Schizosaccharomyces pombe: one gene and its partners. The protein of the gene in region 2 purifies or fractionates together with the protein of the main gene of each other region. This does not show direct contact. Each region holds a gene or a part of one and is shown on either strand. Other genes may lie near its edges.

Region 1 (3,759 bases), on a different chromosome or scaffold from region 2:
AAATGTGTTCTCTCTTTATTTTTCCTCTGTTTTAAGCATGCAGTAGTGTCCCGGTTTTAGGAAATGAACGAACGATAAAGGAAGGGATGACAATTCGTCGTTCTACAGAAGGATGGAATGGATTAATGGCAAAAGTGAGGATTCCTGGGAAAATAAGTATATATATATAAGGTGGACAGAGAAAGAAGGTAAAGGATAATGAAGGTGGTGAAGGAAGCAATGTCTTACTGCGTCCCTGGCAAGTAAAGAGGCTTATAAACAATAGAGAACTATGTACTAAGGTGGTTTAAGATACCAATTCCTTAATTTTGGACTTGGATTACTATAAGAATACGTTTCTGCTGAGAAATATGATGCTGCAGTCGGTAACTTTTTGGTTTGTGTCGCAATGTTTATATATGTTGATCGGGTGAGATGAATTTTGACGTCACTGCAAAACAAACAAACGAAGGGCTAGGGTAGCCAATCGGGAAATGATTTGTTTACTTTATGAGATGAACTTGCCGTATAGAAATAAAAAGTTTTTCTTTATAAAAATTTATTTTTTTTTTGTTTGAAGGGATTTGTTGCAATTAACAAAGGCACTATGCTAAAAAAGTCAAGCAGTATTATCCTTTAAGGCCTCCATTTTAAGGAGCTAACCGAAGGGGACTACATTCACGTGTCGCTCCACTGTGTAATATTTACATCACAGTCGTACCGTTAATTGGCCACCATATTCGGAAAGGAAAATCTAGAGTTCTATTTGATGCAGATTATGTCAAATATAATCAGGATTTACTTTTATTTAAACCAATCAAAAAATAGCCGATTACTTGTGGAGAGATAATAACGCTATCCCTCGGTATTCGTAGTCGTCAATAGTAAAGTTGTGAATGCGAAAATATAATATCGCCTCTCTTGCTAGCTTTTTTCATATTTATTTCCTTTAATGGTTTTGATGAAACTACCTAGGCTTCAAATTTTGTCGTTCTCTTACGCGCGCCACCATAAACGGCTTTATCGTTACTGATAATAATAGCTCATATCATTACTATTAGTAGCCTTTCCGCTATCAATCCTTTCTCAAAATTTAGCCGCAACTTGTTTCTAATACTTCTTCATCTTTCTTGCCCACATTTACTTATATTGTCGCAAGCAAGAGTAACATGTTATTGATTTAAATCTGGTTTGCCAGAATTCTCATTTTTAGTATGTATACTATCATATCTTTTAACTATACACGAGATGAAGTTTAACTTTTGGTCACATTAAATCAAAATAGACAGAACGGATCGTACATACGACCATGAGTTAGCCACTGGATTGAATCAGTTCTGCAAATCGAAAGATGTTGAACTTCGCAGTTGACAATATGAGAATACTTTAGCAACATCTGGAATATTTAATTAAGCTCTACGTCAATTTGGTAGAAATGTGACTATCTAAGATATAGTTGGCAATTTCCCGAATTCATAGGATATCACCTTTAAACCTTTTGACTTAATTTAATGATATTATTTTTCTTTATTTTAATTTACTGAGATGTAAATGCCGTGATTGTTGCATGTGTATACCTCAGATAATAATTGGACGTAGACACTATTGATTAACCCACGTAGCTATTTCACTTCTTTTGAATATTTTTCTCTTATTCATTCCTTCCGATTGCTGAATTTTCAATGCAGCCGTCAAATTAGGAACATATTACTTCATACGGACTCTGACTCATGATTCACTATGTGTCGTCGAGTCAATATATTTTCATTATAGTCATTGAAACTTACTGACTTTTGCAAATGACCGTTTCATATAACTTGTAGCTTTTGGTTAAACATGAACGCTATTGCTACAGTCTAGTTCCCATTAGAAGCAGCTTACGGGAGTAGAATTGTTGCTTAAACCTACCACTAAAACTTTGGTCATAACCTTGAAGGGACTCGGTATGATTGACCTTTTCCAATTAACATGTTTAACATCCACAGTTTCCATTTCTAATTTTATTTTGTATAACCGTAAATATCGAAAAAGCTGTGCATTAGCATTCCTTACACTGCGCTATACCCTCTTGTGTTATTCTATTCCTATACACATCCATACCGTTAATTACTTAGCTTTTACCATTGCAAGGATGAAACGCGTATGGCCTAGAATTCCTACGATTTCGAATGTCTGTAGGGCTCGCAGTATTTACAGTGCTGCTCAGGAAAATGCATATCGCTCTTCTGTAAAGTTAATACAGGAATACTCGGAGAAAGTTCACAAAAAGCTTCAGGCTAAATTATTAGAAAACCCAAGTGAAACTTCCCCAGAAATAGAACGGTTACAGGTTTTATCACAAATTAATTTACCGGAAGTACGCTCTAAATTTCATAAAAAGGAGATCGACTACACGAATCCGGTGTTCCTTTACATGCTTAAGCAACAGTGGGAAGATTATCAAAAATTGCTTCTTTTACAAAGATTGGAGCAGATGAAAGTAATAAAGGACTCTGGGATTGGCTCATTTTCGCCATCTGTCGACGTACAGTTAGGATTTAACCCCGAAAATAATGATTCTATCACTCCTGGCACTATCTTGCCAAGTACGGTTACTGTAAAGACCCCGTGGCTATCAGTTTTACCCTTTAATTGTAAAAAGAATCATTATTCAGTTATAACACTAGATTTGGATGTCCCGAATTACGAAACAAACCGGTTTGAGACTCATTGCAACTGGCTTTTAACGAATATCCCCATTGAAGCATCCAAACGTGTGCCCATTGATACTTCTAAAGCTTTCTTTCAATATCGGCCTCCTATTGTTCACCGTGGAGAAGATAAACACCGTATCTTAACCCTTGTTTTGCGGCAAAAGTCATCTAGTATTAGTATTCCTTCTAATGCACTTGTCCGCGAACGATTTGACCTCTCTGAGTTTTGCTCAATCTATGATCTTGAACCTGTTGGCGCTCATCTTTGGAGAAGTGGCTGGGATTCGGACGCAGTTGCATTATTATCCAAGCACCCGTCTGTACACGAATATCGAGATATCCGTGTAGAACGTATCCCTGCATGAAACTACTAAAAGAGCCCCTAAAATATTGTTTTTATAAGTCATTTTTTCATTCCATGTTTCAAAACATTAGCATGCATTGCTTCCCTCCTCTCGTGTCAAAATAGTTTATCTTTTACATGATTTCCCTTCTTAGGTTTTTTTAAGACGATAGCCTTGTTCCATAGTCCTATTTTACTTTCCTCTTATTAAATCAATTGCAAATCTGTGAATAAAATGCCTATCCTATGCCTTAAACTAAAGTCAGTTGTAACTTTAGAACTGGTGTTTCCTCTTTACAGTATGTTTGCTCAATCTAGATGAAGTGTGAGCTGTATTGTAATATATTTCATTATAGCTTTCGCGAAAATAAAAAGATAGTGTCTGTAATAGTGATATTTGATAGCAAAACATAGAAAAAAGTGCATAGATGATCGTTTCCTAAAACAAGGTTATAAGAGCAGTCTTCTATCATTTCAAACTATATTTCTTGATTACCTAATTGATGTAGTAAATTATACTATGATCTCAAAATAACTTCTCTAAAAGAAGTGATGAAGCTCTCAAGAGTAAAACGACTGAGCAAAATTTTAATACGCTTTATATAACCAGCGTCATTAATAAGCGATAATTATTACATATCCGTAATGCTACTAGATACGAAAGCTGCTTCTTTGTATGAACGGAAATATTAAAAGAGCCAGTCATCTATCACGTCCTCAACAAAAAAGTCCGAAAGCTTAAAG
Region 2 (3,759 bases):
ATTCCTTAAATATTTGGAAACATTGTAGTTACTTTTTAGTATTTTTCAATATTGTTAAAAACGGGAGGTGCACCTACCAAAAGTTCAAACTTTTTTATTACCAATTAACTGTGGTAAAAATTCGCTTGTCTTTCATTTAAACTTACACCTTCTATAATATCTATACATTACAAATAGAAGAGGAAATTTTGACTCATCAAAAATCCCAAGAATATACTATAAACTATGACCAAGAATATTCAAGTACTTTTTGTATGCTTGGGAAACATTTGCAGAAGTCCAATGGCTGAGGCAGTTTTTCGAAATGAAGTAGAAAAGGCTGGACTCGAGGCACGTTTTGACACCATTGATAGCTGTGGCACTGGTGCATGGCATGTAGGAAATCGACCTGATCCACGAACTCTCGAAGTACTTAAAAAGAATGGCATTCATACCAAACATTTGGCAAGGAAACTTTCAACGTCTGATTTTAAAAACTTTGACTACATTTTTGCAATGGATTCGTCAAATTTGCGAAACATTAATCGTGTTAAACCTCAAGGTAGCCGTGCTAAAGTCATGCTTTTTGGAGAATATGCTAGTCCAGGAGTTTCAAAAATCGTTGATGACCCTTATTATGGAGGAAGCGATGGTTTTGGAGATTGCTATATCCAATTAGTAGATTTTTCTCAAAATTTCCTCAAATCCATTGCTTAGTTTAAGTTTGAATAGAAAATGTACAGCTTTTAAAGGTATTAAGTTCGCCCAAAAATCCAACGATAGAAATGCTTCTAGAATTTAAAATATTGATTTTTAGTTGCGTACGTTTTGACTGGCCTATTTTACAAAAACTGTATCAAAAAATAAAAACAATTGAATAAAGTCGTACAACCTTTCTTTACGTAAGTCTTTCTAGCTATATACCCTAGAAAGAAATACATAGTACACATAAATTAATGAAAATATAAAAGAAAGAATATTAAATAGCATGGAGAACACGGACCCAACATTCCTGGCTGAATCATTTTTTAAAGTAGGCATGATTACTTGCATAAGTAGCAAACTCAAAAAAAGAATTAACTTTCGAAAGAATCAATAATAGGGCTTAACGGGGATGTGCTGCAGTAGTTCCGATTATAATAAACTAAGCCTGAGCTGGATTCTAAAGGGCTAGAGCCATGTTCAACACGCTCAACGTTCGCAACGAAAAGAATGTGATCTTGTACTTGATAAGAATGAATTATTGAACAGTGCAAGAGCCCTAAGCTATCAACAAGACATGGAAGACCTTCTTTACTGAGACTGACATCGATTGGATGAAGGGGATGCAGAAGAGAATGTGAAGATGTTTGCTGTGTACGATTGCTTCCTGGAAGATCCTCTACAGAAGTAGAGTTTTTCTCTGAATTCATTAAAGGATTGATTTGATGTTTTTGTTTGGCAAGTAAGGAAGCCCATTCGGAATGCTTCTTTATTGAACTAGACAGAAGATGAACGATTACTCGATTGGATTGTTGGATGGCGTTTGCTGTACGAGAGGGAATTTTTATATTGAATGAAATTACTGGATTTGGCGTCAGAGAAACTGGCGTAAAGGATGAGGCCGTCATGCCAGCACGATGACCATCAGCAAAACCACTCGTGATGATGACAACTGGTTGTGCGAACCTACGCATTAAAAGGCGAAAAGCATTAACGTTATCATGGGAAGCGGTAGAATAGCGGTTGAAATTTGAAAAAGGCAAATGTCGAAGTATGTAGCAGGGCAATGATGAGGAAGAAGTAAAACAATGAGTAAATCGGATTGACATCAAAATATGTAAACAATTATTAAGTATATAATATTATTTGACTTAAGCACGGAAAAAAGGCAAACGACCAGAAAGCGGTAGTATAGTCATGAACTCCTTTAGTGTTGGTAATAAAATCGACCAACTGTGGACAGCGAATATAAAAGTGACTCGTGCTACTCAAATTGAGGAAATAAAACCCCTTTATTTGATTATTCAATACAACCTTTCAAACTTTTATGTTCAATAAAGATATAAAGAAAGTTGGACGAGGTTGTAGGACAGTGGTGTACTTTGTGATACTGTTTACCATTCCATTTTCATTGGGAAATTATACTCGTGCATAGAAGCTAATGTGAAACTTGAAAAAATAAACATTTAAGGGAAACATGAGAGAAGGATTCAAATTTCTATTCTTTTACCGAAAAATTGTTGTTTACAAGATAGATGCAAATCAATCAGCGAATCTGATGAGTAGTGGTAGAGAAATGAATTAATTATAGGAAAACGAAAAAATTTAATTTTAAAGCCTGATTCATCTATTCATTGACTATCAAAATATGTAGCAACAGAATAACTAAAGATACTGACCCAAAGAAAAAAAAAGTCTGCATCTATGTAAAAGTTAGAACGTTGAACCAGCGTATATGTATACTTGAGTAAAAAATTTAAAAAAATAAGAAATAAAATAAATGTAAAAATTAAAACAAATAAACCAACGTAACGTGGACAGTTGGAATTTGTAATTAGTATAACATGGAAATTTCATTTTAAAAAAAAAGAATATTAAAAAAAATATATATATATATTGTATGAATTACTTGAAGTATTGATAATTAAATTTATTTCATATTAGATTTGAATGAAAATTATCGTTTATCTTATTTACATTTTTTTTGATTGATGTTTTTTTGTGGGCAAATTGCCATTTCTATTTTTTCCACGCATGTAGTCGTTTTTCCAATAATATTTCCTTTTTCTCATACCATGCACCTTGAAAGTTTGTCTTGTTTTCATTATTATAAGGCGCATTTCCAAAGGCACAATATACGCATTCGTATGGAGTGATTCAAGATGGCGCACTTTTTGCCATGAATTGGTTCGCACATACAAATTAGAAAAACGGTAGACTTTATTATTACCAGAAAAAATAGACCGACTTTTCCAATGAATGAAAATGAAAAGATGATTGGATCGCCCCATTTCTTCATTTTTTTTTTTTAATTACATTAGGAATGCAATGAATAAAATTGATTAACGATTGTATGAAGTGTAGCTTATTTGTTCAGATAGGGTTGTCGCACAGCAACATTGAGGATATAATGAATCATGAGGAGATGGAAATGACCCAGAGATCCACTTAAAGTAGAGCGTTCTTTTTTTTTTTCTTCGCTTTATGGAATACAAAGTCTCGTATACATCAAGAAGGCGATTATTGTGGCATATGTGGATATTATAATAGTATAGCAGATAAATTTGTTATATTATGCAATAAAGTATTAGAATTAAAGATACCATATGAAGGAAAAGGAATGAGCTGAGGTATAACAAAGACAGAAAGACTATAAGCGTGTAGAAGACGTTATGGAAGTGAGATGCGAGCAATAGCACTCTGTGGTAAGTTTGCGATTCAAATTGAAACAAGAAAAAAAGCAATCATTACTTGAAATGTGTCGCTTTCAACGCGGCCGATGGAGATAATAGGTAAAGGGATAAAAAAGAAAGAGTATTGTGTGATTCATAACTAGCATAAACATAAAAGAAAATAAGCAAAAAGAAAGTTTGATGAAGATAAAGATGAAAAGCTAAAAAAATTGCAATAACTGATATCAACGAACAAAAAGGTAAACATAGAAACGAATATGTAACAAAACCTACAAAATAATGAACAACTCTTCCAAAATCAACATCTCAACCTACAGTAACACTACTGAACTTAGAATCGTATTCTTTTCAGCAAACCCATCATTCCCATTTTCCCATTACAGCC
Region 3 (3,759 bases), on a different chromosome or scaffold from region 2:
CAGGAACGCAATATAGAGAATAGATCTCCAAGCACCCAGCTCCATAAATAATTTACGACTGTAAGTCCAATTTGAATAAGTAAATTAAAAGGATTATGAACTTCTCTATCTTCTTAATTCTTTAATTCACCGAGGACCTTTCGAATGCGTGCGTTTGATATAGGTAGTGCGAGGTGTATAATAAGGTAAAATGTATGGTTACTACAACAGCTGATATATCGAAGCAAATATAGCTCGAGTTAACATGGGAAAAGAGCTTTCTTTCTAATTTTTTGAAATAACTTGTTTTAATTTTCTAGTTAATAAATACAGTCAGGAAGCAAATTTGGCAATTATAGTTGGAAAAGATTCTACGACTTAGATAACAGTAGTTCAAATGATGTAAATATTGAGCAGAGAATTTAAATTAGACGATACTTTTTCTCTTTGTTTAGCAATCATATTTTAACTTGAAAGTATAAAGACGTATTCAGGTAGATATAATTAAGACTGGTCAAAATTCATTACACATAACCCAATCATTCATTTTCATAAACTTATGATGTGTAATTTACTTTTAACAAGAGAATCATAGAGATTTTTGCTTAAACTTATGAGCCATAGATTTTAATTCGGAAATTTCCACAGGACCCTTGACACTGGGATCAGAAATAGCCTCCAAAGCAGCCAAAGCAACTTCCTCAGAAGGAAGGGGTTCAGCCGAAGCGGTTCCGAGGAAATTTAAAGCACCAGAGGTTGCTCGATTGATGCTGGATGAGACAGTAAAAAGAGACGCAAGGGCGCCTGTGAAAGGACGATCATTAAAGTTATACATAAAACCAGGACGGAGAAATATAGAACGAAGGTTTGAAATTTTAGATATTTCCCTTTCAGCTTCACGTTTCGTTTTTATGTAGCGGGGATCCAACCCGGGAGCCGCTGCATGAGCAGACACATAGCAATACACAGGGACATTAGCTTTGGCGGCAATCTTAGCTGTTTCAATAGCTAAATCTCGATTGATTGCTTCAAATGTAACTTTATTTTTAGATTGCTTTGCTTCTTCAGGTTTAGGTGCTAAAGGGTTTTGGCCAGTTTTAAACATGTTAGAGCTAAGACTATTGATTAAATGCGAAACTGGTCCTCTGGGATTCTGTAAAATCTTTTTATAGTTATTTTCCATAAGGATACCAACACTGTTCACCACTGCCGAGGCATCACGAAGAACAGGAAGTAATGAATTTGGATCTTTTTGAGCATCCAACGTCTCCCATTCAACATCATCCATCCATGGTTCTTTGTTATGCAATCCTCCAGCTCCTCTTCGGGATACTGAAACCACCTCGTAACCCTTAGCAATGGCTAATTTGCAAATATTATGCCCTAAAAAGCCTGAACCACCTAAAACAACAATTTTCATACTTAAAACGAGGGAGAAAGTAAAAATAAAATTATTTAAAGAATTTAAATCTTCAAATTAGACAATTTGATATAGGCCAGCCCAAATTATTATAAGGATTAGAACCCCAGAATTGTTAATGTAAGCTAACACCTCAAAGTTTCGTGATGCTTATTATTAATCTTAATAATTGAGAAACACAAAAATGCTGTCTCAAAATATTTTTAAAATTTCCTTTTACGAACAATGTTCAAAAAACCCTTTCAACCTGAGTAGTTAGTAAATCGTAGTTGAAGAGAATGAGGTAATGTGCTAGCTCAATAAGGAAGACCAAGAGATGGAAAGAGGTAATTAATTATCTTCTATTAGACTTATTAATTTATAAAAATATGTACATCATTTAATAAGTATGCAAAATAACCATCATTCATAATTGGAGTATTAGTAAAAGTTTGTCTTAAATGAGAGCGCTAAAAAAAATTAAAAATAAAAATGCTTTGATAATTTAGTCTTTAATTTTCTATACTTTATAAGCCATTGATTAATTTCTTAATTATCTTTGGATTTTAAATTCGTAATAATAAGATCTCAAATTCAAATACTTCATAAACCCATTTACAAATATGTTAGATTAATAACAAATTCAATTTTAAGCTAACAATAGAGCTTATGAATCATAATATTTATTCCGATAACCCTGAAGACACAATTTCGAGTTTTATGAAGTGTCTGAGAAGCCAGTTGATTGCTATTCTGTTCATACAGAAAATTTCGTGATTCATAGCAAGAGGAAAGAAAAAATCTCAAATTTTTTTTATTTTTTTTTAATTAATATTATTACATATTTAGTTGATCGATCAAGAAATCGTTGAGCGAAAGTATTAAATTCATATATTCTAAAACAATACACTGTGGTTTAATTTTATAAATTTAAAATAACTGATCGTTACGAGATCTATTAGAATTTTAAGTCTTCTTATTATTGATATCTACACCTTTTTTGTTTTGAAAATATATAAATCTTATTTTTTTTCTTTCATTCTAATCAACATCCTTTTTTTTTTTTTGAAATTGTTTTAAATCAAATGTGTATTTCATTATATTGTGACTGATAAAAATATGTTTGCGAAAGCAACATTTGAACAGATTGAGTAAATAGGCTATGATATAGTAAATCTTTAAATTTAATTTAATTCTCAATACCAAATAAATATTTCTTCAAAAAGGGTTACAAATAAATTAGCTATACTGTGGAGTATATGATATATCGATCCCCCTGATGTAACAAATATAACATATAACAATATGTGTTTAAGTATGAGTATATTCAGAATACATTGGAAATAACGAAAATCCAAATGAAACATTAAGCATAAATTTCTGATTTCTAACTTGCCCTTTTTATTTTATTTTATTCATCATAGTTGTCTACTATTCCAACACAAGTTATGATGTTAATGAGTTGCTAGAATGTTTATTTGCGAGACAGTAGTATAAATATCCTTTCGTAGCTGCTGTACGTTATAACGAACAACTTAACTTTCTTAAATTTTTCTCAATAAATACTTAAATTTACATTGAAGAATATAGCTGAAAATAAATAAACTCACGATGGCAATTTCTCAGCCTCTTTAAGTAGATTTGCTTTTATAGTCACTATGATCTACTGGTTTAGTTCTGTGTGCTGCTTCGTCAAAGTTGTAAGTCTTCGCTTAATTATTAGCGAAACTTTATTTTATCAGATAGGGATAATATCCAAGAAAATTGTACTACCAAGCTGCTTTGAGAAGATAATACAAGTACTGAGATGAGTGTAAAAAAGTGCCAAGGAAAACGAGCTGCGCCCTTTAACTTCATCTGTCTATATTCTAAATGCCACCTTTAAAACAAAAATCTAACTTGTCTTATAATGTAAAAACCCTAAAGCTTCGCACTTATGGTGACACATTTAGTACAAATTCTTTCTATTCCATACGTTCTTTGCTGAATAAAGAGCGAAGACCGTCCCCTTTATATTCGAGCCGTCATTAATTTTTCATTCAAAAACTAAGATAGTAAGGCACATCGATAACAATCTAAAGTTGTGAAAAAATTCTTATAAAACGGAATTCTTAAATACTTATTTCTTCCAAATTATTTAAGCAAACCTTCAAAAGAAGAATTATCCTTCAATGATTTAAACTCAACAACTATCAAATGAAGTAATTCAAGAATATAACTGTAGTCAAATATATACATCTATATTCCCCACGTCCATAAGATTTGTATATTTGTTTACAACGGGTATTTTTAGTTAGAAGAACGGTTGCTTGTAATGATGAGGAAGGATTCGTGAGCCGGATATAGCTGGAATAATGTTCAATACCTTTTCCTTTAATAGA

The links.
Region 1: the proteins of coq12 (region 2) and mrpl35 purify together in Schizosaccharomyces pombe (affinity purification with mass spectrometry, with the first as the bait; one study listed by BioGRID). This does not show direct contact.
Region 3: the proteins of coq12 (region 2) and coq11 purify together in Schizosaccharomyces pombe (affinity purification with mass spectrometry, with the first as the bait; one study listed by BioGRID). This does not show direct contact.

The regions. Positions count from the first base shown.
Region 1 is NC_003423.3:1,718,829-1,722,587, reverse strand, and holds mrpl35 (mitochondrial ribosomal protein subunit L35), read left to right. Parts: upstream 1-2,091; 5' UTR 2,092-2,110; coding exon 2,111-3,037; 3' UTR 3,038-3,363; downstream 3,364-3,759. Other genes in the region: transcriptional activator MBF subunit Rep2, read right to left, coding at 3,705-3,759.
Region 2 is NC_003424.3:3,880,558-3,884,316, reverse strand, and holds coq12 (NADH-dependent flavin oxidoreductase), read right to left. Parts: upstream 1,903-3,759; 5' UTR 1,791-1,902; coding exon 1,056-1,790; 3' UTR 697-1,055; coding exon of another isoform or gene 226-696; 3' UTR 61-225; downstream 1-60. Other genes in the region: protein tyrosine phosphatase Stp1, read left to right, coding at 226-696; SPOM_SPAC1071.13 (uncharacterized protein), read right to left, coding at 2,655-2,972. UniProt on the Schizosaccharomyces pombe protein: NADH-dependent flavin reductase that acts in the coenzyme Q biosynthetic pathway. Required for synthesis of the p-hydroxybenzoic acid (PHB) precursor to form a quinone backbone.
Region 3 is NC_003421.2:2,273,800-2,277,558, forward strand, and holds coq11 (ubiquinone biosynthesis protein Coq11), read right to left. Parts: upstream 1,671-3,759; 5' UTR 1,400-1,670; coding exon 569-1,399; 3' UTR 368-568; downstream 1-367. Other genes in the region: pdi5 (protein disulfide isomerase), read right to left, coding at 1-45. UniProt on the Schizosaccharomyces pombe protein: Acts in the coenzyme Q biosynthetic pathway.